Linked DNA regions of Astyanax mexicanus. The protein of the gene in region 1 purifies or fractionates together with the protein of each later gene. This does not show direct contact. Links are inferred from orthologs where the notes say so. Each region holds a gene or a part of one and is shown in the gene's direction. Other genes may lie near its edges. The genes, in order: esyt1a and atl3.

What was found.
Region 2: the proteins of esyt1a (region 1) and atl3 purify together in Homo sapiens (affinity purification with mass spectrometry; 3 studies listed by BioGRID and IntAct, with this or other methods). This does not show direct contact. The link is inferred for Astyanax mexicanus from reciprocal best matches to the Homo sapiens genes ESYT1 and ATL3.

What each region holds. Positions count from the first base shown.
Region 1 is NC_064420.1:2,968,562-2,984,686, reverse strand, and holds the start of esyt1a (extended synaptotagmin-1), read left to right. Parts: upstream 1-8,626; 5' UTR 8,627-8,862; coding exon 8,863-9,159; intron 9,160-13,572; coding exon 13,573-13,614; intron 13,615-14,796; coding exon 14,797-14,931; intron 14,932-15,570; coding exon 15,571-15,644; intron 15,645-16,125. UniProt on the Homo sapiens protein: Binds calcium (via the C2 domains) and translocates to sites of contact between the endoplasmic reticulum and the cell membrane in response to increased cytosolic calcium levels.
Region 2 is NC_064417.1:45,867,576-45,883,539, forward strand, and holds the start of atl3 (atlastin-3), read left to right. Parts: upstream 1-9,500; 5' UTR 9,501-9,646; intron 9,647-13,489; 5' UTR 13,490-13,515; coding exon 13,516-13,719; intron 13,720-14,264; coding exon 14,265-14,399; intron 14,400-15,270; coding exon 15,271-15,375; intron 15,376-15,483; coding exon 15,484-15,534; intron 15,535-15,964. Other genes in the region: si:ch211-145o7.3 (forkhead box protein N2), read left to right, coding at 600-1,145, 1,249-1,308, 2,568-2,629, 2,732-2,787, 4,075-4,379. UniProt on the Homo sapiens protein: Atlastin-3 (ATL3) is a membrane-anchored GTPase that mediates the GTP-dependent fusion of endoplasmic reticulum (ER) membranes, maintaining the continuous ER network. It facilitates the formation of three-way junctions where ER tubules intersect.

The sequences.
Region 1 (16,125 bases):
TTCTCTCCACGATTGTGCCTGTCCAATTAGATTTGCATTGCAAATGTCAAGTTGAGTAACAAGTTAGACTGGAGTGATGTTCGTTGTAAAGCTGTGTGTAAGTCAGTCATAATGTCAAAGTCAAAAAGTCAAAGTCAAAGTGGTTTTTATTGTCATTTCAGCTATATACAGAGTACACAGTGAAACGAAACAACGTTCCTCCAAGGACCATGGTGCACATAAACACAGTGTAGACAGAACAATAGTGCAACAGTACAAAAGTGCAGACAGACAATACAACACCATACAGACAAAGAATAATAAATAACAAGACAGTGTGCAAATTTTGCAGTGTGCAAAAAAGACCAGGTGAGGTAGTAATTACTCTATTACACAGTGTGCAATAGAGTCCAGTGAGGTAGTAGGGTTTTTAGTGCTTTCCATTTTCTGGGGTAAGTGGGGTAAGAGTGTGTGTGCATGTACAGAAAAACCATCAGTTCAGTCTCTGCAGTTAAGGAGTCTGATGGCTTGGGGGTAGAAGCTGTTGCAGAATCTGGTCGTGCTGGACCGGATGCTGCGGTACCTTCTTCCCGAAGGCAGGAGGGAGAATAGTTCGTGTGAGGGATGAGTGGGGTCATGTACAGTTCAGGCCGAACGTTTTCTCTTTTTCAATGTGTTTTCTTTATTTTCATGACTATTTACATTGTAGATTCTCACTGAAGCATCAAAACTATGAATGAACACGTGGAGTTTTATGTACTTAACAAACATAGGTGAAATAACCAAAAATGTAAATATATATATTCTAGTTTCTTTAAAATAGCCCCCCTTTGCTCTGATTACTGCTTTGCACACTCTTGGCATCATTCTCTCAATGAGCTTCAAGAGGTGGCCACCTGAAATGAAAAGTTTTCCAACAGCCTTGAAGGAAGGAGTTCCCAGAGGTGTTTACTTGTTGGCTCTTTGTCTTCTTCACTCTGTGCTCCAGCTCACCCCAAACCTCAAATCTGGATTGGGTTCAGGTCCGGTGACTGTGGAGGTTCAGCTCATTTTTTTTGTTAAGTACATAAAACTCTACATGTGTTCATGCATAGTTGTGATGCCTTCAGTGAGAATCTACAATGTAAATATTAATGAAAATAAAGAAAACGCATTGAATGAGGTGTGTCCAAACTTTTGGCCTGTACTGTATCTTTATACTGTTGGAATTTTCTGACTCCTTCAGATATCTAAAAAGGGAACACTGTGTGTATAAACAGTGTCTTTTAAAGGGTAACTAAACCCCCTGATTTTAGTTGACTACACCAGCAAGTTGCTCAAATTTGAAAACTGCTAAAAAATGGGAGGGTTAGTTTGGGAGGGGCATTGGGTGATGTATGGGTTTAGGGGCAGGCCGAAGGTAGAGTTGATTGGCCTCAGCTGCAGCAGCAGCAATGTTCCTCAGATAGCGGTGAGACGCAGATGATTGGACGTCACCAGGGGGATGGTGTTATTGATTAACTTATTTGCATATTGTGAGGGTCTGCGTACCAAAGATGAACCTAAGAGGGTGCATTTTTATATAACAAAAATTGAGTCAGGCTGGTATGTTTCATTACTTTAAAGTAACACATTTTAGCTATTAATAGAAAAAAATATGGTTTAGGGTTTAGTGGCTTTTTAATGTAATAAATGTTGATTGGATCAGATTTTCCATTAGAGTTTATTTACAAAATATAAATATTAAATATTAAAAGTTCTATTTTTTTCCCGTATCTCAGATTTTGAAAAACAAAAAATGGGGAAAAAAAAAAAAACTAATATCTTTTTAACTATACACACTGTCAAGTCTCCCGTTTTGGCTGGGAAACTACCATATTTTACCCCTCTTTTCTGCCGTCCTTCCCGTTTAAGTATTTTCACATACATTTCCTGTATTATACTATTAATAATAAAAAAACAATAACATAAACATTTCTGTGCCTCTTCAAACTAAAATGTCACTAACCTCTGACAGCAGAAACAACCCTGAAACAAAAAATATCAGAGAAATGGATGGGTGCAAAGAAAGATGATATACTATATACTATATATTATACCATGATGATACATACTCATACATACTATATACAAATGTATAATACCATTGATCACAACAAATGTACATCAAAAAGAAAATTATATATATATATAATTATATATATATATATATATATAACTACATACTATATAATGATTCACACTGATCAGACGTGAACACGTTGGGTGTCCAATGGCATATTTTTTGCCTGCCACTGCATGCTGCTGTTCTACTACGTTACCCATAATCCCGCTCGGTGGGCGGGCGAGTGCGTGACGCATCAGGAGCGTATAAAAGCTCGCGGCTGCCGTTATGAGGCCCTCTTGAAGTCGTTGCTTCGCTTGTGGAGGTAAGAGGCAGCTCTTTGCTCTTCACTGGCTAACCGGTCTATCTGAACAATCCAGTTTAATCTCGCTTGTTTAAGAGCCATCCGCTAAAGTTCTCCTCTTTTTCTTTCTTACAGGAACGCTTCCAACATGAGAGCGAAGGTAAGTCAGTGATTTATCACCGTATTTTGTATATTTGTGCAGATTTGGGTTTCACTAGGGGCAATGCGGCTAGCCTAGCTCACAGCACTGACCAGAAAAGTGACCAGCTAATGCTGAAATATGTGCTTTTAAAGCGCCTTTTCTGCTGTTTATTAATGTCAAGTCGTCTTTTAAATGCTTGAAGTCATTTCATTAACATAACGTTAGTTTGTGTGGAAACTAGGCATTTCTTTTAATGGTGCTTAGCATTGAAGCTAGCAGTTAGCTTGGCGAACATAAAAATGGCGAAGTAAGTTAAATGTTTTTGCTCCCTTCAGAGAAATGAGCCCTAAAGAGCTGAATAATTGGCTGGTACTTGGCCTTATCTCCCGCCTAAACCAGTTTAAAGCTTTAATTCGTGTTTTGTTGTTTAATTCGGATCGTAATCTTTACTTCTGCAGTGTCAGAAGGGGATAAGATCGTGCTGTTTCCCCTGTTAGCCACGCTTGTTGGTTGATTAGCATTAGCTTTAGCGTTAGCATGAAGGCGTGCGTGCTGGTGAATGGTGCTGCAGGCCTACTGCACCTTTAGATCAGCGTTAATATTTAACCACAAATTATGATTTTCCTTTATTACTGACTATTTATTATTTGGGATTAATTGGGCTTTGTTTGATTGTCTTTCTGTTTCATTGTTAAACATTTTTCAGATTTTCTTAATATTAACTCATGCTACACAATCAGAATTTCAGGAAATTGTTTTTTTTTTAGAACCTTTACAGACCTGATTTATTTTTCTGTAAATGGAATATATCAATGCTGTTTTGTCTAATGCACGCATTAGGCACCATCTTAATATACAAATCTAGGTTGTATAAAAATCATATTACCAAATTTGTATTCTAATACATGATGGTGAATTAAAATTTATAAAAATGAGCTAATTTTTATTTTCTAGTCCAGTGGGTGAGGTTAAGCCACTTTCTTTGGCTTGTTTGATTGTTTGATTTATTCTGATGGACACCAGGTTTTAATTATTGTCGTAAAAAACAAAACATTTGAAAACAAAGCACATGATGTCTATTGTAATTGATGCAAGGTCTGAAAGTGTTAATTTATTAATTTGTGCCTCTTAACAAATCTGGCTGTATAATCCAGCCTACTTTTGCAAGATACAGTAATGGAGAAATTAATATATTGAGTAAAGATTAAAGGAAAAAAGCCATAAAATTGGACAACTTGATTAACATATTCATGATCCTTTTTTACTGTACTAAATGTACAAACTGGAGTTAATTGGCCTAAAGTCAGATAATTGAACTAAATCGTTGCACTGACCTTTCTGTTCCACTTTAAATCATGCAGCAGTTGGACTTTGAGACCTGCACATGCTCTGTGACTGTAGTTAATGTAACAAGCTGACTGTAGTTTGAGATTTGTTTCCCTTTTAATTTACTTTAGTTTTTGGACAATGTTTTTCCAGAGTAGATGGTGGTGCAGGAAATCGCTAAATTGTCCAGTACTCCATTCCACTTTTAGCTCATTTTAACTGACCAAGCTCTTCTACATGTATATAATGAGATTGCTTGAGCAGTATTGATTGGTGGTTGGTGCTAAATTCTGCTGCAGAGTCTCTATTCAGGAGCATAGCTAAAGACCCATGTTAAAGGGAATACTCCACATCTTACTGCACCATAACATTGCCAAAAGTGTAGTTTAGCAAGGTAAACTAGCTGGCTTGAAGATTTAGGCCTTGTTTCATTGCACAACTTGTTTGTGTTCCATTGCTCACCACATGCATAAAATGTAAAGTGGAGGGAGGGCATAGAAAATAGAACATGCATAGTATTCAAATGTTTGCATACAAGAGAACTGTTTGCCTGGCCTTATTGAGTCCTTTATAATACTTTAAAAACAGTTGCTTCATTTTGATGGCAATTTGACTTGACTGTATAGCATGCTGTACATCCACATATGTCATAACATGTGTGTCTTTTCCTTTCAGTGGAGAAAGAAGCGTATGCGCAGGTATGTAGTTATATTTTAAAGGGACTTTTTTTTTTTAAATGTGTTTTTGGTGATTAGTGTTTGCAGAAAGGCTAATGGATTCTCTTTTATAGGCTGAAGCGTAAAAGGAGAAAGATGAGGCAGAGGTCTAAGTAAACTGCACCCTGTCTGCTGCAGCTGGATTCCATCCTGATCATCTCGGATTTTCCCTCAGCAAGAGTCTTGCAAAGAGCGACTGAAGAGGTTCCCTTCATCTACCCTGAATGAAGCCAGACACTTCTGACAGTGGGATCTTCATCACCTGGCTGCTCAGTTGCCTCTTGGGTTTTGATGGCCTTGCGAACTCTCTTTGGACATTCCAGACAACTCCAGCTCAGCATGTTTTTGTTAATACCTCCAATAAAATCTGTTTTAAAAACGTATTCATGTGTGGCACTGAATGAATTGGAAACTACAGTTTATTTGAGCAGAGATCCATCAAGAACACTAAGCTTCATGAGCTCTCTTGAGGAAGCATTGGGTGGGTGGAGGCCAAGGTCATTTAGTTAAGTGCTTTGAGAGGTCTGTTCTAGAATTATGTTGGTAATAGATGGGTACTGGATTGTGGAGCGAAAAGGGAGGTCTCAACCAGTAAAATAACTACCGGTAACCCTGAGGTTGTACAGGGCATGCTCCTAGATTTCATATCAACTGTTCAGTTTAAGGGATTACTACATTTGTAAGGAAAACACACCAGTTATTTCTGCAAATTCTGTTTAACAATACATTAAAAAACTCACTGAACACACTTCCTGATACAGAGGAGTGTTAACCTTCACTTTAAAGTACTTTTTGTTCATTTTATAGTCTTTGGGGTGGCTTTTTTATGGCTGCAGCGATGCGTGGTTGAATATTTCATACACTTTTTATTGCATTTAGATACTGGGAATTTGATCATTGAACATGTCCAATAATTGGTGCCATCCCTGTTATGTTTGGGTCTTAACCTCATCCCTTAAAAAAAAGCTTTTGACATCAATAAAATCAACTTTAATAAAGACACTGCTCCATCTTTAACAATTAATAATAGTCTCGCTTAATATTTCTATTGTCTTTATTTAGTTTAATCTTAAGTTGTCATTGCAACATATTGGGGTAATAAAAAACATAACAAAATTTCAGGGTTCCAACCACATTGTGAAAGAGCTACCTCCCTGCAATGATTTAACAGGGTGGGATGTCAGATTTTTGCTATGAAGATCCACATTTGTCAGCTTGCCATACCAGGATGGGCATAATGCACATCAGGAACTTAAAAGTAAAAATATAAAGTGATTTATGTTTAATTTGATTTGGTTCATGTAAAGTCTAAAATTAAAATAAGTCTGTACAGTATTGTGAAAAATGACCCAGGTGTTAGGGGAAGGTCTGTGACTGGAGCATGGAAACTTTGGGCTTCACACCTCATCACACTGATTATACTGTGTATCCAGGGCATCATAATGTGCTGTTAGAGAGACTGGAAGAAACAGCAGCAGCTGCTGGTTTTTAATGACATGTTTTTCTCTGCAAATGTGTAAATGCATACACAGTTTGTCTACTCCATGCAGAGAAATATTTCTTGTAGAATAGGATACGCTGAAGCAGGTAAATATGAACCAGTTAGTACTGTCTCTAACGTGGGGTATGAAGTAAAGAAAAATCAATTTATTGAGGTGTTTATTATTGTAGCAAAATAATTATATTTTAGTACTTACACTAATAATAATCTTCTGGATATGAATTTTCTTTATCTGATGGATTTTAATTAGTTAAATCTGACAATATGTAACTCCTTATCATGATTGGTTGGTCGGTTTTAGCTCAATTGACCAATCAATGTTCTCAAAAAATATATATCTCAAAAACATATTAAAGTCCATTTCCATAGATATACATTTCTTTAACAGCTTTTATTATTGTATAAGATTATAATTGTTCTGTATGTAGTGTTTAGCTATAATAAATTAAAATTTTGAAAGAAAGTAAATTTACATTCTATAAAGTCTATGCAGGGGTGTCAGAAGCATGTTTAATGTGGGGAGGTCCTCCCCATAACATTATTTATGTATTAGATGCCATTTCCAGTATTCTGGTGTTTTTTGACAAGTTAAATTCTAAATTCACCTACAAAAGTGACTTTTACATTACAATGACTTTTAGAGTCTGACACAGCTCCCTTGTCAGCAGCTCTAGCTCTGTGCAGCTCACTGGGCTGTGGGTTAACAACTCCTGATATAATCACCTGTTGACATCACCTTTTTTTTTTTAATTATTAAAATATTAAATCAAGTTCAAAGTAAATGTAAGATACACTGCCTTTTATTGCCATTTTACATTCAGTCCCAGCTGAGTATTACTGTATTAATAAAGAATAAATACATACAAACATTATAAATGAATTCTATTCAAATGGCACATGACTATTTATGTCAAGGCCAGTGGGAAAAAACACAGAGACAGAGCAGGTGGTCTGGATGGATTAGGCCTGGAGCCAGGCCTGCTTTTCCTGTGAAATGTTTAATACATCTATACTGTAACGTGGTTGCTTTTCACATAATTCAACACACTGCAGCACTATTAATGAACGTGGAATAGGTGCTTGACTAATTTGTCTGTTCTGTATTCCTTCCTTTTATAAACAGATCAGTGCCCTGGAGGCAGAGAGGCGTTCCATACACACACACTGTTTATCAGCCTCCCTTAAAAACACTGACAGCTCGGCTCATCACATGCTCTTATTATGTAAACACCTCAGGCATCACACACACTGGAATTAAGGCATATGACCCAGTATGCAAGGAAAAGAGGTGACTGTGTTCATGCTGTGCTTCGTGTGTTCGGTGCTTACTCATTTTTTCCCCTCTCTTTCTCTTTCTCTCTGCCTCTTTCTCTTTTTCTCTCTTTCTTTTTTTTTCTCTCTACAGTGAACGGATGTTGCAGTCGCACGCAAAGGTGGTGTGCCCACATGCGGCACTAAAGCTTTATAAATGTACTGCAAGAGAAAGTGTACCTTAAATTAAACAAGAAATGTATATCTATTTTTTCTAGTAGCATGCACTACTGCTATTTTTACTGTTACAAAGTAGGTGTTTCTAATAAAGTGGCTAAAACACTTTTTGTTTTCTGGTGCAGAAATGACAGGGTATGCATTAATGCACCAATAGAAAAGAATGAAATTTAAAAATTGTGTGAAAATGGCCCCAACAAAAAAAATCTGCAATTGCACTTAAACATTATGATTTTCTTAGATTTTACCCAATTAAAAACCTTTGGAATATAATCAAGAGGAAGACGGATGGTCACAAGCCATCAAACTAAGCTGAACTGCACCATGAGTGGCATAAAGTTATCCAAAAGCAGTGTGTAAGATTGGTGGAGGAAAACCTGCCAAGATGAATGAAAACTGTGATTAAAAAACATAGTTATTCCTTTAAATATTGGTTTCTGAACTCATAAATCTTTGAATATATATGAATATAAACTTATTTTCTTTGCATGAAAACAGTAAAACAGTGAAAGAAAAGCAGCAACTATGCAACTATTGTTCAGAACCTCCAGGAACCCCTTCAAGATGCTGAGAAAATGCCAAGAGTGTGCAGATCTGTCCTCATTCTCAATGCTACATGTGGTATTTAGAAGAATCTAAAATATAAACACATTTTGGTTTAACACTTCATTATTGCTTATGTCTTCCTTCAAAGTTTTGGTATCTTCAATATTAATCAACAATGTAGAAATAAAGGAATACATGGAAAAAAAAAACGTTTTAATGTATTATTAGAGGTGGTGTACAGCAGTGTGTGGTTTTGGAGTGTAGTTTTCTGTTTTGACTTGATGCTTCTTCACACCCTCTTCTGTTTTTGGCATGTGTTCACACCAACTGACTCATCATTAAATACATTTTAGCTGAAGTAGAAGAGTTTTTATTTAAAGAATGTTTGTTTTTACAGCTAGATAAGCTGAAGAAGACGTTATAACGCGTTGTTCGCTTGTTATTCCCTCAGATATGCTAGCTTGCCAGCTAACTGCAGTATTTGGGCTCTACATTTTTGAGGGTTGAGCTTGTTGGTGAGGGCAGGAACCCACCCCCACACACCAGCCGCCCAGATAAAACCCCAGCCCAGCCCCGGCAGCAGAAGCAGCAGCTCTGCTATGTTTGTTTAAGAGACAGTTAGCTTCTGTTTTAATCCTAAAAAATACTTTAATTTGATAACGCCCAGCCTTCAATAGCCTCAGCCAGCCCGGTCGTGTTTATGAGCCGCGGACGTCGCAGCTGAGCTCCGGAGGCGGCGGGGGGAGAGTAGCGGTCTGGCGGGGCAGAGACGTGGCCATGGCCGCTGGAGAGGATGCGGGTTCGGCTGTAAGCGCGGAGACGGCGGGGCAGCACGCCGTGTCGGTGCTGCTGGCCTTCGGAAAGTGCCTGGGCGCGCTGCTGCCCGTCTACCTGGCCGGATACTTCGGGCTGAGCCTGAGCTTCGTGGTGATCGGCCTCATGGTGTATCTGGGATGGAGGCAGCACCGCGACGGTAAGCAGGCGAGGCTGAACACCGCCATGTACGCTCAGGAGAACGAGCGGGACTTCACCACCGGCCGCCTCTACAGGAGCCGGAGAGACCTTCCCGCCTGGGTAAGAGAACCTCCGCCGGGGCCGCTATAGCTAGCTTTACCCAGCTGTGGGGGTCTGTACAGATGTGGTGCAGATGTTTACAGCTCGGGAAACATATGTACAACATTCTTAATAACAGTTGTTTAGGATAAAATAACAAATAGTGTGGAAGAATCAGGTACAGCACTTTTTAAAAACATATATGGACACAAAACACGAGTTATAGAGACCCTCTAACGTACGAAGCGTAAAAAAGTAACGTTAATTCTCACACGTTGTTATAACGAGTAACTATCTCGTTTTTATGAGTCATTGCAACGTTAAAACGACATAGTATGTCGTAATTGTGAGAATGTATATTCATGTTATGAGTTATGTTGTCAAAACAACATAGTATTTCGTAATTATTAAAAAAGTATCTCGTTTGAAAGTTATTTTGTCGTTTGAACGTCATACTATGTCGTAATTATCAAATAAACATCTCGTAATTATGAAAAAAGTATCTCGTAATTATGAAAAAGTGTCTTGTTTTTATGAGTTATTATTTTGTTGAAACATCATACTATGTCATAATTATGAAATAAAAAACTCGTAATTATGAAAAAAGTATCTCATTTTTATGAGTTATTATGTTGTTGAAACGACACAGTATGTCATAATTACAAATAATAACAAAAAAGGCTCCTGTTTACAATGGCTACCACTATTAAGAAAATATGAGTCATTAAGTTTCACCACAGGGCACTGTTTCATAATAAACCATCTTAATCAAAAACTTAGAAGACAGAACATCTGACTACATAATAGCAATTCAGTTCAGAAGGTTGTGTGTTCAAATGTACATATTTCTGCAGTTATCTAATTGTTTAAGTGGTTACGTAAACAGTATACTGATATACTGATGCTTTAGATTGCTTTAAGGCAATATAATCAGCTCTATAATCAGATTTCCTAGCACATGTATACACCTATTCTGATTTCTTGAATATAACTGGATAAGACAGCTGCTAATTCAAGCTTACACCTCTTATTCACATTCACCAAGTTTGTGTAACGTGCATCTGTGAGATTACTGGCTCATGGCAAAGGAGATATTCGACTATTTCCTGACTCAATTGTTTTCCACTTACTTATGTAGTAGTGATGAATTACCCAGCTATGGTTAGCGAACCTTACTGAAGCTCAGCGATTACCTGTTTACAAGAAAAATAGCCTACTTGCCTGTTTTCATGGCTGCAGCACATTGATTGCATGCTGTAGTGTTCTATACCTGACAACCTGGTGTGTGGAAATGGGCCTTGGGGAAAAGGGAGTTGGATAGGTCCAGAGGCCACAAGCCACACAGATTACTTTGATGTACCACAAAGTTCTAATTAGAAAATACTGTCTTTAGCTCTGCTGACAAGAGGTGACAGTGTAGATTTTCTTTAATGTCTGATGGTATATCCTTATCATGCTATGAGTTACTATAGAAAATATAATCCTTAATTAAGCATTAATTATCCATACATATAGTGTATTATTATAGTTATGCTGTTGTTATTATGGCCATTAAGGAACTAGCTTATCACTGTCCTATACTATCATGTGTACATTGGGCAATATAAAGCAATGACAATAAAGGAAAGCCGCTGCATCATACAGGATCTCATTATTTTGTGTTGATCATTTTCTATTCCATCCTCATCTCCTCCCCCATCCCTCATTACTGCTGCCACATTCCACAGCCCCGCCAGCGCTGGCTATATTTGGACATTTAAAGATCAGATCTTCAGGATCTGAGTCAGCAGACCACGAGATGCAGAGAAAGAACTGGGCAAAACATTACATTACATTACATTACATTTGGCAGACGCTTTTGTCCAAAGCGACTTACAATAGTCAAGTACAATGTAAAATAAGTTTAACGGTAAAACATCTTTGGATAGGGATAAAAGGAGGTCAAAGGGGAATAATAGGATAGAGGAGTGAAGGAGGGGAAGAAGGAAATGAGGTTAGTAGTAGTTAGTGTGTTAGAGGTGTTAAGAGAGTAAGTGCTCTTTGAAGAGCTCTGTCTTCAGGAGTTTATTAAAGATAGTGAGGGACACTCCTGATCTGGTAGTAGAAGGTAGTTAGTTAGAGGTGTTAGGAGAGTAAGTGCTCTTTGAAGAGCTCAGTCTTCAGGAGTTTATTAAAGATAGTGAGAGATTCTCCTGATCTGGTAGTAGAAGGTAGTTAGTTAGAGGTGTTAGGAGAGTAAGTGCTCTTTGAAGAGCTCAGTCTTCAGGAGTTTATTAAATATAGTGAGAGACGCTCCTGATCTGGTAGTAGAAGGTAGTTAGTTAGAGGTGTTAGGAGAGTAAGTGCTCTTTGAAGAGCTCTGTCTTCAGGAGTTTATTAAAGATAGTGAGAGATTCTCCTGATCTGGTAGTAGAAGGTAGTTAGTTAGAGGTGTTAGGAGAGTAAGTGCTCTTTGAAGAGCTCTGTCTTCAGGAGTTTCTTAAAGATAGCGAGAGATTCTCCTGATCTGGTAGTAGAAGGTAGTTTGTTCCACCATTGGGGAACTCTGTATGAGAACAGTCTGGATTGCTTTGTGTGAATGTTTGGCAAAGCGAGGCGACGTTCATTGGAGGAGCGCAGCGGCCGGGAGGTAGCGTAAGCCTTCAGGAGCGAGTACAGGTAGCGAACTATGGCAAGAATCTGTTATAAAGACGTTTTAAAGACGATTTCTGAAGCAGGGTGGAGGTGCAGAGGAGGACAGTAAGAATAGCTCATCTGTATAATAGGGTTTTGGTTACTAAGCACTGGTATTCGGTCAGCTTTACCCACATCCTCTTTCACTTCTGTACGGTGAAAAGCTGTGCCTTCTTATTCTGTGGCTTTGTAATAGTGTTCAGCTTCCGTACATTCATGAGTACATGGACCCTGTGTGAAGTTTAGTTTCAGTTGGTCAGTGAAGTTTTTAGCACTAAGGCTGTGTGCAGCAGCATTAGCATTAGCCGCTAACCACATCTAAGCTTGCTGTAAATGAACGGAAGCACTTTACGAACCCAAAGAAACAGTGTTTGGAAGAGAAATCTGTGTAGATTAACATCCAGCACTCACTTGACTTTAAAAGAAAATGTTTTTTCTTTAAAGAATTACAGTTTTATTTACTTAGGCACTTTCTCCAGCTTCCCTATTGGAAGGGAAGCAATTTTATTTACACCTAAATACACATTATTTAAAGCTTATCTTTAAAGAGAAAAAGTGTGGTTAATCACGATTAATCACAGAATTATAGTAATTCTGTGATTAATCTGCTTAATTTCGTAAGTGACCAACACTGGTACTTCCTATTTAAACTACTGGCAATGTAAATTTTTTTCTAATATCATGCAGCCATAACGTAAAATTCTGATACCTCTCTAAATTGATTAATTCATGATCGTGAACGGATATACAACTGATATGTGCTGGGAAACCTATTAAAAAACTCCCTAATAACCATCCAAGACCTGGTAGACCACCAAAACTAACCTCACCTAACGGCTCTTACAGATCTGTCTCTGACAGAGTAGCGCCAGGAAGTTAAGCTCCTCTCTCACTTCATATCTGAACAAAACCACAGGTGTGTGCTTAATTCTGTGGCTCTGACAGGAAGTGGAGATTAAAAACCCTTAAAAACCCGTAATAAACAAAAAAACAAGAACATTTTATTAGAATCAAACGGCTGAGCGTCAGTCCGCTTTTAGAGCCCCAACGTGGATACTGCTTGTGTACCAAATCGTGTTGACATTACATGTTTGAAATCACAGCATTATTTATTTATTTTACCTCATTACTAGCCTTAAATTGTGCATGTTCCAACATTTCTTGAATGTGTAGCAGGCAAAACATGAAATATATTTGGTTTATACTGTCTGCAGTTAAATAAAAAAGAAAATACATTTAAAAAAAATGTTTTTTATACTGTTTCACCTTTTTTTTTATTTGTTGTTGTAAAACCGAAATGAATGGGTCGCTGTTGAACATAATAAATATTGTTGGATTGTAAATATATGTTTTTTTGTGTTGTACTGTAACAAAAATTATGAATATGTCTATAAACATTATACTTTATATACAGGGGCAATAAATGTATGTGAACCCTTTGGAGGTTTTGGAATGGTTTTACAAAGATGTGTCATAAAATCAGTCTTAAAAGGTATTAATGATTCATTCATGTCTTTATTGAGAACAACCATAAAAAAACAGAACAGTGTTGAATGAGTGTGTTTACTAATGATCCTAAACCTGCAAGATCAGATTTATTTGTGTTATTATATTATGCAGATTATATTTTTCAATACTTTTTTGACACATTTATGCAGAAAATCATGAATTTCCCCTACTTAAATCCATATAATTCACATTCTCTTTCTTGCCACTGTACACTTGTGTTGACCAAACTTGATTTTGTGATTTTCTCTGCAGGTTAATTTCCCAGATGTGGAGAAAGTTGAATGGCTAAATAAGGTATGATATCCTACCATTATCCTACTTTTAGAGAAAAGGAAGTAGTGCATATTATAGTATGTTTTAAGTAGTAAATTGTTGGCTTTTGGCCATTGTTTCCATAAAAAATGAACACTTATAAGAACTCTTTGCACATCAGAAAGACATTAAGACTCTGAGTTGTTTATTAGCAGCTGCAGGACAGACCAGGACTGAGTAAAAAAACGCTCCAGTGCTTTGAAGGAATGCAGCAAAGAGGTAGGACACAAATAAGAGATTGTGGCGAGGACATCAGGCGAAAAGAGCTGGTATTACTCAAGCTCATGCTTTCAAGTCTGTCTGAGTCTTTTTTCTGTCTGTGTCACATGATCTTTTTTCATGGACCCCACCCTGCCGCAGTGCTTTTTATGCTCTTGGATTGAACTAGTGTATTTTTCGCACTTAAAATTCTTTAATTTTTCCAAAAACTATCAGTGCACCTTATAATCCAGTGCACCTTATGTATGAATCCTACCAGTCAGGTATTAAAGAGCAGCAAAGCAAAGTTTTAGTTTAATTCTCCAGCGCTCCTAACCTCCAGCTAGCACTGCTGGAGCAGCATTAGCCGCTAACCGCTAACTGTGCTAGCTCTTTCGCTGTTCAGAGGTGAGTATTATCAACCTGTAGTCTGTGCGTTTACCGTGTAGCGACGAATCGCTAGCTAATATTGCCCTGGCTTACCGGAGCACTCAGAGTTCCTCAGTGTAGGACTGTCAGGCTGTTAGCCATTAATGCTAATGCTAATGCTAATGCTCCAGCCTTAGTGCTGGAGAAATGTGTGAATCTAAGCTTACTGTAAATAAACATAAGCATTTTACCTCACCCAGATAAACAGTTTTCAGTTAGCTGTTTTTTATGCATCTTGGCGTCATGTTCTCCTCCAGCAGTCTTACACACTGCTTTTGGATAACTTTATGCTGCTTTACTCCTGGTGCAAAAATTTAGCAGTTCAGCTTGGTTTATGGTTGTGATCATATATCTTCCTCTTGATTATATTCCAGAGGTTTTAAATGTGGTAAAATCAAAGAAACTCATCATTTTTAAGTGGCCTACAAAGCTGTAGATGATACAAATAGTTTTGCATTGTCTTCTATTGAAATTTAAGGTGGTATTTTCCTTTTTCTATATAATATTTTTTCTTACTGTGTTTGTGTTGCTGTGCAGATCCTGCAGCAGGCCTGGCCATTTGTAGGCCAGTATTTGGAGAAACTGCTTGTGGAGACGATTGCCCCGACAATCAGGGGCACCAGCCCCCACCTTCAAACCTTCAGCTTCACCAAAGTGGACCTGGGTGACAAGGTGCTGATCTGCTCCTTATTTAACTAGTTTTACTTTGTGCTGTAGTTGGCCTGTCTCTCAAATGTTGGGTGTAGCACATACAGTAGAGCAATTATACACAAATTATATTCCTCAGGTCCTCTAGAAATTTACTCAGAAGAGCATATGGTGATGTATGTGTATATAAGAGTGTACAGTGGCGTGAAAAACTATTTGCCCCCTACAGATTTCTTTAGTTTTTGCTTTTTAGTCATACTGATATTTTTCACAGATTTCCGTTTTTCTTTTTCTTTTTTTTTTTTTTACAAAGGGCTAGATTGGTTTCGATAGTTTTTCCCTTAATAAATGAAATCATAATATAAAAAGTGCTTTTTTATATTTACTCAAGTTATATTTGTCTGATATTAAGGTTTGTTTGATAATCTGAAAAATGTAAGTATTAGAAACACGCAAAAACAAAAAATCTGTATTTACAAAGAGAAATAAAAGGAATTTGAGGAATTTTTTGACAAAACCAAAATATGGGAGCATGTGTTGCTATTTCTGTTTGACATCTGTCACATATTGGAATCATATTCTGAACAAATTTAGCCAGCCTTTATCAGTAAATCGTTTTTGGACAGCTCTAAAACATCCATTTGAATCTGTTTCTTTCTGCAGGCCATGAAGGTGGTTGGAGTAAAGGCTCACACTGAGCACGATAAGCGTCAGGTGTTACTAGACCTTTATATCAGGTACGTCCATACTTTTAACTCAGTGGCCTGGGTTTACTGGAGTCAATAATTCCAATAATAAATGTGGGATACAGTATCTCCAAATAAGAGCAGTATTTAAAAATTGTTGGTAAAGGTTAGCTTAGCATGTGGACTACACAACCAACACATCGAGGAAAAACGTTCATTTTACCTCTCTGTTCATATACCATACACATTCACTGCTAAATGCTTATTAGTGGGTTTCAGTCAGGAAAACATGGTATCATCTTGGTTTCATCTAAGCTAATTCTAACCAGTTCCTCTCTGTTGATTGGCAACAGTTAAGCATTTTTTAGTCTACAGACTGTCCAGACTTTAAAATAGCGCAGGATGAGATGGTGTAGAATAGGGCTGGTTAGCACAGGGCATCTCACGATACAATATTATCATGGTACTTTGAATCTGTGATACTTGATATATCACAAGACATTCTCTACAATACTTCACAGCATCTGTGTTA
Region 2 (15,964 bases), on another chromosome or scaffold:
AGGGATTATTTCTTTTATTGTTGGTGATTATGGCTTAAAGCCATCCGAAAATTACAATATTATTTAAGACCAATTGTCAAAACTTTTGGCAGTGTGGGCAGTGTGCCAAATCCTGCTGGAAAATGAAATCTGCATCTCTATAAAAGTTGTCAGTAGCAGAGGGAAGCATGAAGTGCTGTAAGATTTTGTGGGAAAACAAAACTGCACTGACTTTAGACTTGATAATAAAACACAGTGGATCAACACCAGCAGATGACATGTCTCTCCAAACCATCACTGATTGTGGAAACTTCACACTAGACCTCAAGCAGCTTTGACTGTGTGCCTCTCCACCCCAAATGAAACGCAAAAAATGTTCTGGTGGTCAGTGAAGGTTATATCAAGTCCACAGTACATCTATACTGTATAATATATGAGTTTCACATTATGAACTGAATTACTGAAATAAAGTGGCTTTTCAATGATATTCAGTTTTTTTATATATGCACCTGTATTATTCTTATATAATTAATATATAGACTCATATAGACTTTGTTATTTTTTTTCTCAACAGGCCAGCAGCTGAATGTGTGTACCTGTGCCCCAGAGTTTGGAGAGAGATGGAGAACAATACCCACACTCTACCATCGCTTTCTCCTCTCCATTCCCCAACAAACCCTTCCAAAGCTCTTTCACTGTCACCATCTCTTCCTCAGCCCTCTGCTACTGTCCCTGCCTCACTGCCTCTCTCCCCCCTGTCGCCCATCCTTAACTCTTCTGGAGGGCATAACCAGCACTGCCTCAGTCCTTCAGGTCCGACTGACCAGGATGACCTGACCTGCCTCAACTGGCTGCACCAGAGGAACCTACTGCCCCTGCAGCCAATTCCCAAAATCCCCACACTGCCTCAGTTAGAGTCACTGGACCCACTCCCCATCCAGAATCGACCTCCTTCCCCAGCCAAGCCTCCGTTTTCCTTCAGCAGTCTCATCTTCATGGCGATTGAAGACTCTCCAGATAAAAGGCTTCCAGTGAAAGGTATCTACGAGTGGATCGTCAACAACTTTCCCTACTACAGAACAGCCCCCAGCGGCTGGAGAAACTCCGTCCGACACAACCTGTCCCTCAGTAAGAGCTTTCGGAGGATACACCGGGACAAGAGTCAAGTGCGTCTATCTATCCGTCAGATTTGGTTCACATAAGTTGATTCAAGATGTGTTAATTCACTATTATAATATAAAATCTGTTTTTTTTTTTTTAAAATCATAGTCCGTTGGAAAGGGGTCACTATGGTGCGTTTGTCCAGAATTTCGTCCTGCTCTTTTGGAGGTGCGTCAATAATGTGATCTTCTGCCTATATTTATTTTTTTAGTGTTTTGTATTCAAAAAATGGTTTAAATGCCTGAATTTATGAACTATGACATATGAAGTACCTCACCTGTGTATGAACTCACTTTAACTTTTCACAAAACATTTGTTAATTGTCATTTTTCTGTTATTTAATGGTTTAAAATGTCATGTAGTGCGACATATAATATAATAGAAGTAACTGTAATATTTTTTTTTTAAATGATCTAATCATTGTGGCTAAAATATTAATCGCTGATACTCTAAAGTTAAATGGCATTTGTAAAAGTTTCTATCAGTTTTCTGTAATTTACAGAAATGAATAAATAATGTTTGGTAAGTCAAGTTAAGAAGACTTAACTCTCTCTCATTATTGGAAAAATATGAAATCATTATGTACAGGTAGATTATTTATTTGTTTCAAACACATTATGCTTTTGAGAACTTAAAAAAAGCACATTAGTTAAAGAATATTCAGTTTAAGATAAATCATGGTTGCACCACATGACATTTTACATATAGTTGAATGAACCCCCCTAAAATTTAAGTATAAAACATAGACTGTATATAAAGATGGACGCCGTGTCGCCGTTCCCATTCATTCAATGAAAATGAAGCCAAAATCTTCCGCCATTTTGGCGATTCAGAGACCAGAGTCTGCGCAATAGAGACCAGAGGAGGGAGAAAGACTGTGGAGAGACCGCCTACTCATTTAAATAACCCCGCCCCTGAGGGCTGCCTCGCGGTCACAGACTGCAGAGCGGGGCGGAGCGGAGCTGACGGTCTGTTATTGGTCCCGCCCATAACCAGCCCTTTTACCATAACCACACCTTTTTTGAATAGAGCCGAATAAAGTTTTAAAAACCGAATTCTGTGGGGATATAAAAATTTGACAATATAAGCAGAGGTTACACTAGCTGTTGCATTTAAATAATGGAGGTAGAATTACAGTATATTAGAAAAAAACGTGATTGAAAGTTGTCTGTTTTGCCATTGAAACCTATGGGGATGGGTGGAGTTACACAGCTTTCTGCAGCCGAACAGCAGGGGGCGCCCGACCTGTGGTGGCTTCACTTTTAAGAGACGATGCTCTGTCCAGCTATATACAGTCTATGGTATAAAAGGATGTGTGCATGATATTGTAAATGTTTGAACAATTGCAAAATATGCTCTTATTTTTTTATTTTAAAACTGGCCTGAAGATTTAGTTGAAAACCTTTTGTCATTTGTCATTTATTCAGGTACTTAAGAAAACCTATTATTGTCACAGTAGCAGCAGCAATTTACTGAACAGCCGCACATTGTAAGTATTTCTGATGGTTATTTTTAAAAACATATCTTTATGATAAAATTATTAACTATGTTCTGTGGTCAAACTTATAATATTTTTTTATTTTTGGACCAGGTTGGAGGCAGCTGAGTATGGACAGACTGTTATTATGGACACTACAGAAATTTCAGGTTGGGCACTCATGACTTTCACTTTGAAATTTTGAAAGTAGTAATTTAATGAGTTACCGTATAAAAATAAAAAGTGTAAAATATTATGCAAATTAAAATATCTCCTTTTACACCATAACTACCCATGAGCTTAGTAAAGCAGTTGTTTCTCCTTATCTCATGCTCGGCCTCCCCTTTACCACTTTTTGCTAAGCAGGCGTTTGTGTTCTGTTGTCCTGACAACAACCTGGCATTGCCGTGGCAACCTATAGCCAGGACGACATGATGGCTGGCCTCTTTATTTCTGTGCTTTTTAGTGCGGAGCTTATGTAAAGTGATTTTCAGGCCTGTGCCCGTGTTTGCATTCCTCTTTCTTACAGCCTCTGCCCTATAGAAACAGCTGGCTGTAGTGAGACAGATGCTTTCATGAAGTGCTCGTTAATCTTCATTCAGTCTTGATGTAAACTAGAGATGCAGCGAAACCGAACAAAGTGACACATTTGGCCAAACGTTGAATATCTGACAAAAAACACTTTTATTTATTATTTTTTCTACATGTTTCACCTAAATATAGTTTATCTTTATTTTCCTTTTGTAATGAAATAACAGTTACAAAACTTCAATTTAAAAATATTTATTGCATTTCTTTTTATCCCAAACAGACACATATTTCAAATTTACAGTGCTATTTTAGTCATATGTTTACCTCAGCTTTGCCATTTTAATCATGAATTTCAGTGTACTGATTTGGAAAAACCCTTGGCCTATGCATGTATATATCTGCCAATGCTGATAAACGTATTTCTAAATTACAGAAAGATACACATGTAAGAAATGCGCAAATGTAACATTTATTTACCTTGCATTTCAGCTTTTAACAAACTGTATGCAAAAAATAAAATGAAAGGTTTCCCCTCAGAAATTTCTTTTCACATTTGTTGGTTTAAAATGTATTCAGCTAAATGGTCCTAACATAGATTGCTCACAGCTCTTTTAATAAATTAACAGGTTAAATAAAACAATATATCTATTAAAACTAATAAAAATGCTTAAATCCATTCATTTTAAAGTAGAGAGTAGTGAGATATTTGCTAATATTGGTTGCAAAATGTTTTTGGTTGCCAAATTTTCATTGCATTTCTGATTTAAGCACAGATCAGAAGGAAGAGTTAAAATTATGGGAAGATTTAAATGCAAGCATTGCTGTGAGCACTGCTGATAGAAATTATAGCTTCAGTTAGCTTCAGTTGTGTAGTATTGTTGCTCCTGTATAAATCTGTATAAATTCTGCTCTGCTCCATTACACAGACCTGGATTCGAATAACCCACCTCTGTCCTCCGACCCATCCTGCTCTTTGATCCCTGATCACGAGGAGCTGGTTGCCATGGAGTCGGTGGAACTGGAAGAAGAAGCCTGTGAAGAGCCGGAGAAGGACCCGCTCGCAGACAGCGGCTACATCGAGTTCCACTATTACCAGTGTCAGCAGTACCAGTACCTGGTTCTACCAGGAGATACGGAACTGGACCTGGAAACTGTTGAGATCCTGCAGCTTGATGCTGAGGCTCAGGAGGCTGCAGGATCACTGCTGGACTTGGCAGGAGGAAATCACTGATCACTGATCAGCCACTGTCAGCTAAGTATAAACATCTTAATGGAGAGATGAATAGGATCAACTGTCATGCCTTTTACATCATTTCCTTTGCTTTTGTTACTGACTGTTTTTCTAAAGAAACTGCCTGAATTTTATGTTATTATAGTGTTATATATGCGCAGCGTTTGCAGCTGTTACTGAACAATAATGGTTGGAGTGATATAACAGGTAACTTCAGGAGAAAATGGATTTGGCCATACAGCTTTTAGGTAGTGTGTATAGCATGCACACATGTATAAGGTACAAGAAATAAAAGAAAGACTAACATAAATTGCTTTGGGATGACTGAGTTTTGCACAATAAAATGATTAAAGAACAAAAATAAGGCCGAGTGGTCCAGCGGTCTAAAGTGCTATGAGCAGGAGGTTGCAGGTTCGAACCCCAGCTCATGCAGCTTTGCCTTCAAACTTCCGGCGTTTAGAAGAAAGCACAATTGGCCCTGCTTCCTCTGGATGGGTAGATGGCGCTCTCTCCCCACATCACTCCTATGGTGATGTCTGCAGCACAGGGCATCTGTGAGCTGATGTACCGGAACCGAGTCTCTGCACTGTCCTCCAAGCGCGCTGTGATGCTGCTCGGCAATGCTGCATCAGCAGCAGCTCGAAAAGAATAGGTGGCTGACTTCACATGTTACGGAGGAAGCATGTGTTAGTCTTAGCCCTCCTGGTGTGTTGGGGCATTACTAGTGATAGGGGGAGTCCTAATGAGTGGGTTGGGTAATTGGCTGTGTAAATTGGGGAGAAAATGGGAAAAATTAGAAATAAAATTATAGTAAAGAACAAAAATAAGCAACATTAATTAGTTGGTTTTAAACTGTTCCAGTACATACTGTCCACATAAGAAAAATAAACTGCAGAACAGACGGTTTTCAATTTAATCTATTTTTTGGTTTCACAAATATCCGCTCAGTACCAGTTAAAAGTTTGGACACATCTTTTCTCATTCAGTGTGCCTTTTTTCTTTTATTGATTTTGTACATTGTTAATTTAATATTGAAGACTATATTAAAGCTATACAGGAACACATGCAGAACTATTCTGTAACAAAAAGTGTTAAACAAACCAGAATATAGAGTTTTATACTTTAGATTCTTCTAAGAAGCACATTTATCTTTGAAGCCAGATCTGCACACTCTTGGTATTTTAATCTCAGTGTCTCTTCATGAGGGAGAGTCACCTGGAATAATTTTCTCAGCGTCTTAAAGGAAGGAGTTCCTTGAGGTGCTGAACAATAGTTGCTTCTTTTCCTTCACACTGTAAAGCTCCAGCTCATCCCAAATCAAATCAAATCACCATCTCAGTTCATCAGATTTAGATCAGGGGATTAATGTGGAGGATTAACACTTTTTTACTATGTAATTCCATATGTGTTTCTTTAATTGTTTTCATGAATTTAATATTAATCTACAAAGTAGATTAGAGGTAAAGAAAAATAAAGAAAAAATAAATGCAAAAGTGTGTCCAAACTTTTGACTGATATTGTATATCTATTCATTTAGCCCACGGCACTACAGACCCCCTTTCCCCTTCATACTAGACTTATAAGTAGTGTTTCAGCTTGTACTTGTTTTTTGAACGAGGCACTGAACAAAACAGCCAATAAGAACAATAATAAACAGTCAGTTACGAATAGCACACTTAAAGGTACATTAGCAGAAAACACCTGTTTTATTATAAATGATAAAACAAGGTTTGAAAATGCTATTCAAAACATAATACAAATAATAGATTAGACCTATTTTTTTCATTAAAAAAACACCAAAAATAAACTATAAAAGTAAAATATATAACAAGTGCCCTTTAACAACAACAGTATCTTTATATCTTTGTTTATTTAATTGTGTAGACAGCACTGTTTATTGTTAGAGAATAGACTTAGTGCACTTCCATTAATAGAGATAGATCATTAATTTAAACAGATTGTACTGAATTCTTGATTCATGAACTCTGGATGGTATAGATTATAATATGTTGTATTTGAAATAAACTGCCAGCAGCTCCACATCTTCTTTAGGATGTGCATAGAAAATGTAATGTCTAATCTTTGTTTGATTATTAACAAGGTGCAGTTGAACTGTTTTAACATTCACTTCTGTTCATTTAGTTAAACTGTTTAGAAGTGTGTTGAGCAGTTTGAATGAAAATGCCCCCTCTTTGTGTTTATATGTAACGCACTTGGCAATAAACTTCTGAAGTGATGACCACCTTTGTCTCAGCTTTTATTATTTTAGACCCATATTTGAAATGAAACTGTTTGTTTTTGATAGCTATGCTACATGTGATCTGTATGTCAAGCTGTTTTTGGTTTAAAGTGACACCAGTCATACAAGGCCTTACTCTGATTTTACTAGTAAATCTCTTATTTTAAATATAAGCTATGGATTATTACTAGCAATAATATCAGATTTATTTTTGTAATTTTGACAGGTTATGTGTTACTATAGATTAACTTGATCTTTCACTTTTTTGTCTATTACATTTTTATCAGTGAACAATCAGTAACAGATATATATATAATTACGTTTTTACTTTTTTATCATTTCAGTTTTACTGGCAAATGTAATTATAGGTTTACTATTAAAATAAAAAAAAATACTATTTTTACTATTTTTATACAGAAGAAAATATATCCATATATCCCAGAATATCCCAGCTAACATGCTCATATAGGGTTTACATGGTTGGAACATGGGCCAGGTGGGTTCCAGGTGGGCATGGGTTCTGAGTGGGTTTGTACATGTATTGTTTGGGGAGCTCATTTAGGCTTCCTAAATGGGCCCTGTGGCTACAATTCATCTGAAAGGTTTCATTTGGCTATAATTCTAACTAAACTAAACTATTATTCTTTTTTAAATACAGTAGGTCACTCTGAGTTGCATATGCATGCTGCACAGGAACAGGAAATGGGGGGTATTTATACAGAGCATCAAAGGTGAGAACAATTAGAGTAATTAGAAGGATGGAGAGTAAGTGAGAGGCAGTGGCACTTGACTGGGAGAGTCCGGAGTAGAGAGCACAGGGGAATTCTGGGATGTGTAGTTCTGAGTCAATGAAATAAAGTCCATGGCTGTCAGGCTGGCCTGACACCAATAGACAAAAAAAAACTATACAGGGCCCACGTGGACATGTTATCTGATATGTGTAGTCAGACTGGGTTTATTCATCTTAATATCTGTAGATCTGATGTTACTACTAAACTACATTTTAGAGCTGTTACATAGCCTGCCTTACTTTTGTTATGTAAGGTTTGGATGGAGCTGCTTGGACATGAAGTTCTCTACACTCTACTGTTCTTGATCTAATCTAATCTAAATGTTTCCCCTGTGCACTATGCTCCTCAGCATCCGCTGACCCCGCTCTGTTATTTTACACTGACAGAGCACAGAGTGGCTGTCGTTCCCATTCTCTTCCACTGTGTTATAATATCACTGACAGTTGACTGTGGAATATTTTGTAATGAGGAAATTTCACAACTGGGCTTGTTGCACAGGTGCTGCATCCTATCACAATATCACAATGGGGTTCACTGAGCTCCTGAGAGTGACCCATTGTAGAAGCAGTCTCCATGTGCCCATGGAGGTGTTGGGAATACCTGAATACAAGCATTTGGATAGTGAGCGAATACTTTTGGCAATATAGTGCATCTAAAATGAGACTTAAAAAAAAATTAAGAAAAACTGCATTACTTTTTATAGATAAAAACTGAGTTTTATGCTAAAACATCTTTCCATGAATCTGTATTCGATCTAGATTTGAAGAACTCTGTGTCCCAGTTTATTCTGGCAAAACTGCTCATTTGCTCCATGTGTGACTCACTGTGGTATGTTTAGTAGACACTCCCTAAGGCAGCAAGAGTCTGGCAAAAGTTTTTACAAGTAGACTGCTTTTACTTCTGGCGGTCTGAACACTCACCCTTACTCACTCACTCACTCTCACCTCACTCTCTCTAAAAGTAATCTACTAATCTACTTGTTTTGACAGCCCCCCCAAAAAACATAACACATAAAGTAAAAAAATCTGTGTTTGGTAGATTATTTCTTTGTTGTAACAATGCTTCAAAATCTTACTGTTGGAAAGCCTGTTAATTTCTCTTTTAAATTATGCCACGTTTGTAAGGAACATGCATTTGTGGAATATGCAGCAGCAGATGAGGCCTTCAATTTGGAGATACTGGTACTGGCATCACGCCAAATAATATGTTAACTTGGTTTTGCAGACCACCAGCTTAGGCACTATCCAGATCTGTCAATAGCATACAAATTCTTGGAGCAGACACCTATTGACCACTGTAGCAGAGCCCATGCTCACAGGTGCTGCGCCTGGGGGTACCAAAAGCTCCCTGCCAAAATTGTTGGCAAAGACGATTTGGCATATTTTTTCTATGGGCGCAACCCACATACTCAGCTCTGCTGCTCATCCCACAAATGCTCGTTCCTTAAAAATATGGGGCGGAACCACAGGGGCATTGACCTCAGCTTAAGTTCCTCTGTCCTGTCACTCATCTGTCCCTTGCCTGAGAGAGATGATCAGATTATGTGGTTGCAATTTCATGCTGTGTGTGTCTGAGAGTATTTTGTCTTTGTACAATAACAATGTCAAATGGTGAAGGAGATTTTTATAGGTTAAAATATCAAATTTGCAATCAAAATTGCAGTTTATATACATATAGAAGTGAAAAAAATCAAGCAGAAGCAAATGGGAGATTTCAGAAGCAAAAGATTTTCAGAAAAGAGCAGAAAATAACAAAAATGAAAGCCGAGACAGATAACTGTTTTCAGATAATTGCAAAAAATAATTAATTATTTTAAAAATTTAGATTTTTAAAAAATTTTGATTGCAGATTTTTTTGTGTGTGTAAAAAAATGGGGAAAAACACAACCACATACTATGTTTTATAATACACGTGTGTGTGAGTGTGTGTGTGTGTGTGTCTCCCTGCTGGTGGAAAGTGTAGCTTGCTAGGATTTCCAGTCAGTCACGTGGATGCTTTGGGACCTGTAGTTCCTAAAGCGTGGAAGTGTGACTGTGGGAATGAGGCGATCACATTCAAATAAACTACAACTCCCATAATGCCCTTCGCTTTGGAAACATTCGCAGCTCTGATTCGCGGTTGGAAAAAAAGTTCCTTTTCTTTTTATTATTTCCAGACCTGGGTTGAGCCTCTGCTCCGGAACAGCAGAGAGCAGCTGTGCCAGCTTCAGTACTCTCAGATAACTACATTAAAATAGGGTAAGTTAAACAAACTTTAGCTGTTTTTAACGTTTCAGTCTTCGACCGATGTAACAGGTAGGTTAGCTAGTTAGCTAACCTAATTAATTGTATGGTTAAAAAAGCTAACTAGCTTGGCTAGCTAGTTTTTAGCTTGCTGGGTTATGAAGTGCTGGCTGACAGGCGTTGTTAGCTAACGTTCGTAGTTAAAAGTTAAATATTTATGGTGCTGTTGACTGCTGGAGCTTAAAACACTTAAAACACTAATTCAGGAACAGTTGGAGCTATGTGTAAATATGTTGAGTTGTTAAGATAGTTAGTTAAGTTAATTAACCTAATCTAGTTAACTAGGTTAGCTAGGCTGCAGTGTTTTCTCAATACACGCATTAAATTCGTTTATTTGATCTAGTTAGATAAGATAGCTAACCAAGCTAAGTAAACATAAATAGGGTTCCTAAATTTACAGTACATAAGGAATAGTTAGCTTTTAGCTGATTTAGCAAACGTGACTAGCTTAGCTAGTAGAGCTGGGCGATATGGCTCTAAAATAATATCACGATATTTCAGGGTATTTTTGCATAACGCTATACTTGGCGATATAGGGAAACTAAAATAATTAATTAATTTCAGGAATATAGTATAATAGTATACCAGTATAATCATAATGTGGCAAAATAAATAATATAGCATAAAATAATATAATGCAGCAAATAATATTGCAGAATATTAAGTGCATGCATATAAACTGCAAACTAAAACAATTATACAATAAATAAACCTAAAGCTTTACAGTAAATAATAGACTACTTTTAAGACAGAACAGCCCTATTATCACGATATGGATTTTTAATATCATGATATTTCTGTGTCACGATATATTGTATACGATATAATATTGCCCACCCCTATTAGCTAGCTATCTTAATGAAGCTTTATGTGAGAGCAATGTTTATATAGCTAGTTAAGATAGCTTTTTAGCTAAGTTAGATAACTTACCCATTAACTGCGCTAGTTTTAAGCTATAGCTAGCTTACATTTTTTAGCTACGGTAGTTAACTAACTAATGTGACCAGCTGCACCTTTCTAGCTTTTTATCTGTGGAGGATTTTCATGTACTTTTTTGGACGTTAACTCCTGTGCAAGTATGCAAACTTGACACGTATCTGGTGGCCATGGTTTGGGGTTTGTAGAGCCACGCCAATTTCTCTCTCGACCTCTGAGAATCTGACAGGAGGGAAAAAGAATGTGCTGGATTGGGTGTAACTTCAGGTGACGCACCAAAGCACTAGTATCTTTTGCTGGCTATAATTATCACCTCTTCTCTTCTGTAACTTTGCTTTCTAGTGTGACCACATTTTTAGATGTAAGCTAGCTACAGCACCAGTCAAAGGTTTGGACACACCTCTTTTCATTTAGTGTTTTTTTTTTCTTTATTTCTTAATTGAATGTATTTTCCAAATTGTAGTTTAATATCAAAGATACCAGACAATTAACTGACTGTTACTGTGCATTGGTAGGTTATGTAAAATCCTGTACCTTCAGCTGGAACCTTTTAGCATGGAAGGGGGTGTAGGGGGGTGTACTCTATTTCGTTTGGGGGTTTGTGTATGTTTTGGGTTGGGGAGTTATGTTGTATTTATTGTATTTTCTTTTCTCTGGTTTTTTATGTTTAAGTTTGTTTGGGATTATTTTAATGGAAAAATTAAACACCCCAGACTAGTGTCTTTGTATGTTATTGGTCTGGTGGATCAAGGTTTAGAAAGAGAGGGGGCTTATGGGCTGTATCAGGGAAACATATGGAACTATGTATTACTCCAAAAAAGTGTTTGTCCTCCACAATCCCCTCACCTAAATTTGGGATGAGCTAGAGCATAAAGGAAAAGCACCAACTATTGTTCAGCACCTACAGAAACTCATTTAAGAAGCTGAGAAAACTTTATCCATCTTTGTAACTTATGAAGTTTCTAAGTGACATATAGCTTTTGAACCTCCTGAGAGCATCAGTACAGGACAGTGTTTAAGGGCATGCAAAGGTGTATAAAGGTGTATGAAGGGGTATTAAGGAGTATGAAGGTGTTTGAAGGTATATGAAGGTGTGTTCATTCATCTTTATTTCTTTACTATTTCTTTACTATTGTAGTTGTGTTGGGTAAGTGTGGCAGACATTTTTTTTTTCTTTTTTAATTCAGGCCTGTTCCATGTGTTCCTGTATAGCTTTAATGTCTTCAGTACTACACATATTATGTAAAACAAACCATAAAAGGAAATTTTGACTTGTACTGTATGATAACAGCTAATAATAATTTTACAGTGTATGGCTGTGTGAAGTGCTGCATTAACAGCTGCAGATCTTGTAAAGTTTGTTTGTACCAGCTTTGCACATCTATACTGGCTGAAAATGTTGCCCATTCTTCTTTGCAAAAAGTCAAGCTAAGTAAGATTGAAGGTGAATAGCCATTTTGGTTCCATTGTAGATCTGGCTGTATGTTTCATAAAAGCCAGATTTTCGGAGGTCATTACTAGTAGTTACTGTGAGCGGTTTCTCCCACCTGAGCTGTGGATCTCTGCAGCTCCTCCAGAGTGACCATGGGCCTCTTGGCTGCTTCTCTAATTAATGCTCTCTAGTTTAGGTCCTTCATTGAATAGTGCTCTGCGAGATATGCGTAGCTTGGATATTTTTATAACCTAATCCTGCTTTTTTACTGTTTTCAACAACTTCCACCCCTGGCCTACTTGGTGTGTTCCTTGGTTTTCACAATGCTGTTTGATCACTATTGTTCTCACAGAACAGCTTTAGTTATACTGAAAATAATTTATCATATTTATATTTAATAATAATTAGTTACAAATTTATTCATATTCTTATATTTTTATTGTAAATTAATAATCTAAATTACCTTTTTTAATATAATATGTATTGTCTTAGTTAGTGCTCCCAAACTCGTGCTGTACATTAGTATTTTTATTGTTATTGCAGTGAAAATTAAAAAATATAAAAAAAAAAAAAATACATTTTAACTGGGTGTTTTAACTACTACGTTTATGTACCCTTCAGGAAGATACACATCTGATTGATGATAACGTAAGAATGTTACCATGATTGTAGCTTAGTATCTTTAAACATTTTACTAAGAAATATGAGCATTAGGGGACAAGCAATTTTAGATGTATGCCCCTGAACCACTTCATATTGCTTGATATAATAAAAATTAATAGATTAATATTTTGGATGCCCCCCTTGCTGTAAAGATACTTGTGACTTTATAGTTAGAGATTCCATCGGGCTCTCATCAGTGAAGAATTTGAGGCATGTTCTCGCATGTGGTTTTATGTACCACACCTCACTCTACTATCATCACCATTTTTAAGCATGCAACAAAAGGTAGGTGGGTGTTTACAGGTCTGTGGTTGAATTATGAATGAAGCCAGACGTTCAGGCTTCGTTCCCAGCTGATAACGTGCATCTCACAAATGGCACATCTGTAAATGTGTTAAAGTAAGTGACTGTGTTTTTAAGAGGGAATTATTGCATGGCAGTGTTGATTGTACTCATTTGCCCACGGATGAGGGTGGTCCAAATGGCAGATACAAAGACACTCATTCACTGGAGTGTAGAATCTGTGAGTGGAGCACAGCATGCTTTTAACCTCTCAGCTGCTACATCACACGTTATCCATGAAACCAACAGACCTAACATTGTCTCAAATGGTTCCTTCCAGAAAAAAATTGTGACATCTTGTGATGTACTTAATTCAGTTAGATTTGTTGAGCTTAATTCCTTGAAAATAAATCAATTAGAAAAACAGACTATGCAATTTTGTGTATTTAACTCCTTACTCAAATCACTCTATTTGTTATTGACAGAAAGAGTGCTGCAGAAGAAGACCAGGATGGGTAGCGAACCTGGACCGGTCCAAATAGTGACCGTCAACAAGGAGGAGCACTCCTTTGACCTGGACACGGAAGCGCTTGAACGGATTCTGTTGGTGCCCAAGATCCGAGACATGAATGTAGTGGTGCTTTCTGTTGCTGGTGCCTTTCGAAAGGGAAAGAGCTTTCTCCTGGACTTCATGCTTCGGTACATGTACCGGAAGGTTAGTTCACTTACAACAGAACAATCCATTCAACAAAGGTTGGAAAACAAACTTAAAATTAGGTTTGCGCAAAACAAGTTTACACTTTTCTTCTTACTCCACATTCAATCTGTCGGCACAGACACTGGTTTTGGTTTCTAGAAATAAGGTTAATATGTTTTGGGTCATTGTCCTGCTGGAAGGTGCACCTCCACCCCAGTCTTGAGTCTTTTGCAGCCTCTAACAGATTTTCTTCCAAGATAGCCCTGTATTTAGCTCCTTTGAGCTTTGCTATCCTTGCTGAAGAGAAGCATACCCACATCATGATTCTGCCACCACCATGTTTCACAGTGGGAGTGGTCTATTGAGTGTGATGTGTGCTTTTATTTTCTTGCCACACATGGTTTTGTCAGAGCATTTAGGCCAGAAAATTCAATTTTGGTCTCATAATGTTTTAATCTCAAAGTAATCTTAAATTTGTTTTTTTTACCCATAAAAACTGTCTATTTGAACTATGTTTAAAGATTTGAACACAGGCATAATCATTTATTTTTCCGGTGTGACAGTCTAGTGACGACTGGCTTGGACGAGATGATGAGCCCCTGACAGGATTCTCTTGGAGAGGTGGTTCAGAGCCTGAGACCACTGGCATCCAGCTCTGGAGTGAAGTCTTCGTTGTGAGGAAAAGCAATGGAAAACAGGTGCAGTAAATGTTGAAATATTGTTTATTTGAATATTATGACCACCTCCTTGTTTTAACATTGACTGTCAATTTGATCAGCTCCACTGGCCCTATAGGAGCACTATGTACTTCTGTAATCCACAGCTGTGCTGCTGATGTTTTTAAAAACCTCCATGTCACTGCTGGACAAAAATATACTGTCAACATTGTCAAAATATACTGTCGTCCTTTTTTTCTAATAGTGGGGAATAGTGAGTGGATACAGTATAAAACTCCGGCAGCATGGCTGGCACTGCTCCATATATATATATATATATATATATATATATATATATTAGTCCACTAGTTACATTTTACATACATTTATTAATATATATATATATATATATTAATAATGTATGTATGTAAAATGTAACTAGTGGATGGATATAGATATAAATAGATATCGTTTATATAGTTAATAAATGAATATACTTTGTTTAAAGTGGTACTTGTATTTGAAGTGTATATGCTGCAGTAGTTTATATATTGTGTATAGTGACTTAAGGTACCTCTTTTCGAATGCATTTGGCTTGGATTTTGTAATAATACCCAATTATCTGCATGTGTTTAGAGCATCAGCGGACGTAATTATGACTCAGTACATTGTGGCTAGTTGTAGATTAATTTTTCTAGACTCATGGTCACTGAGATTAAGCAATCTGGATTTGTGTAAGGTCTGACTTCAGAGTTGGGGCAATCAGTAGGGCAATAGTTCTCTGTCTAGATAGCGCAATACATGGTTTTGCCCCATTTGGCCCACAGAGTAACATTTACAAAATCTAACTGGGCTGTGACTGGGTTGTGAATAATTTGGGTATTAACAGTTTATTACATATTTTGTTCTCAAGGTGGCAGTGTTGCTTATGGACACACAAGGAGCATTTGATAATCAGTCCACTGTGAAAGATTGTGCTACAATCTTTGCCCTTAGCACCATGACCAGCTCAATACAGGTATAATCACAATGCTTACATTTTTCATCTCAAACCTAACAAAGTGTTGTTATTTATTTTTGTGGATGTAATTATTAATTTGATTGTAAATGTTTATTTTGTCTGTAGATATATAACCTGTCACAGAACATTCAAGAAGATGACTTACAGCAGCTTCAGGTCTGCCCCACCATTCAACATATTATAATAAATGATGGGTATATATTTGATAAAATATTAGCTCCAGCTAAATCGCAATGAGCAAAAAGCAGCTTTTTTGCCAGCTTGTTGCTTGTTGTTATTAGAAATTTAAAAACAATATTATCTATTAAATAAAATTCAGCTCTCATAAAAAACACATGGAAAGGCATCTGCTTTAGATTTTAGAGCTTTTTATTCTAACTTTCTTTCTATTCTAATATTCTTTCTACAGAAGCTTGGCTTTTTTTCCCAAAAACATTTCTGGAAATAGATGTTTAGTGAACTGCAGATGCTCAAATTACCTGATTTGACCACAGTACTTTTATGAATATTTTTTTATTTCCAAGTTGGAGGGGCAGTGTTATGTAAAGCCCTGTTTGGGTGGTGAGGTGGGGTAATGTAATTATCA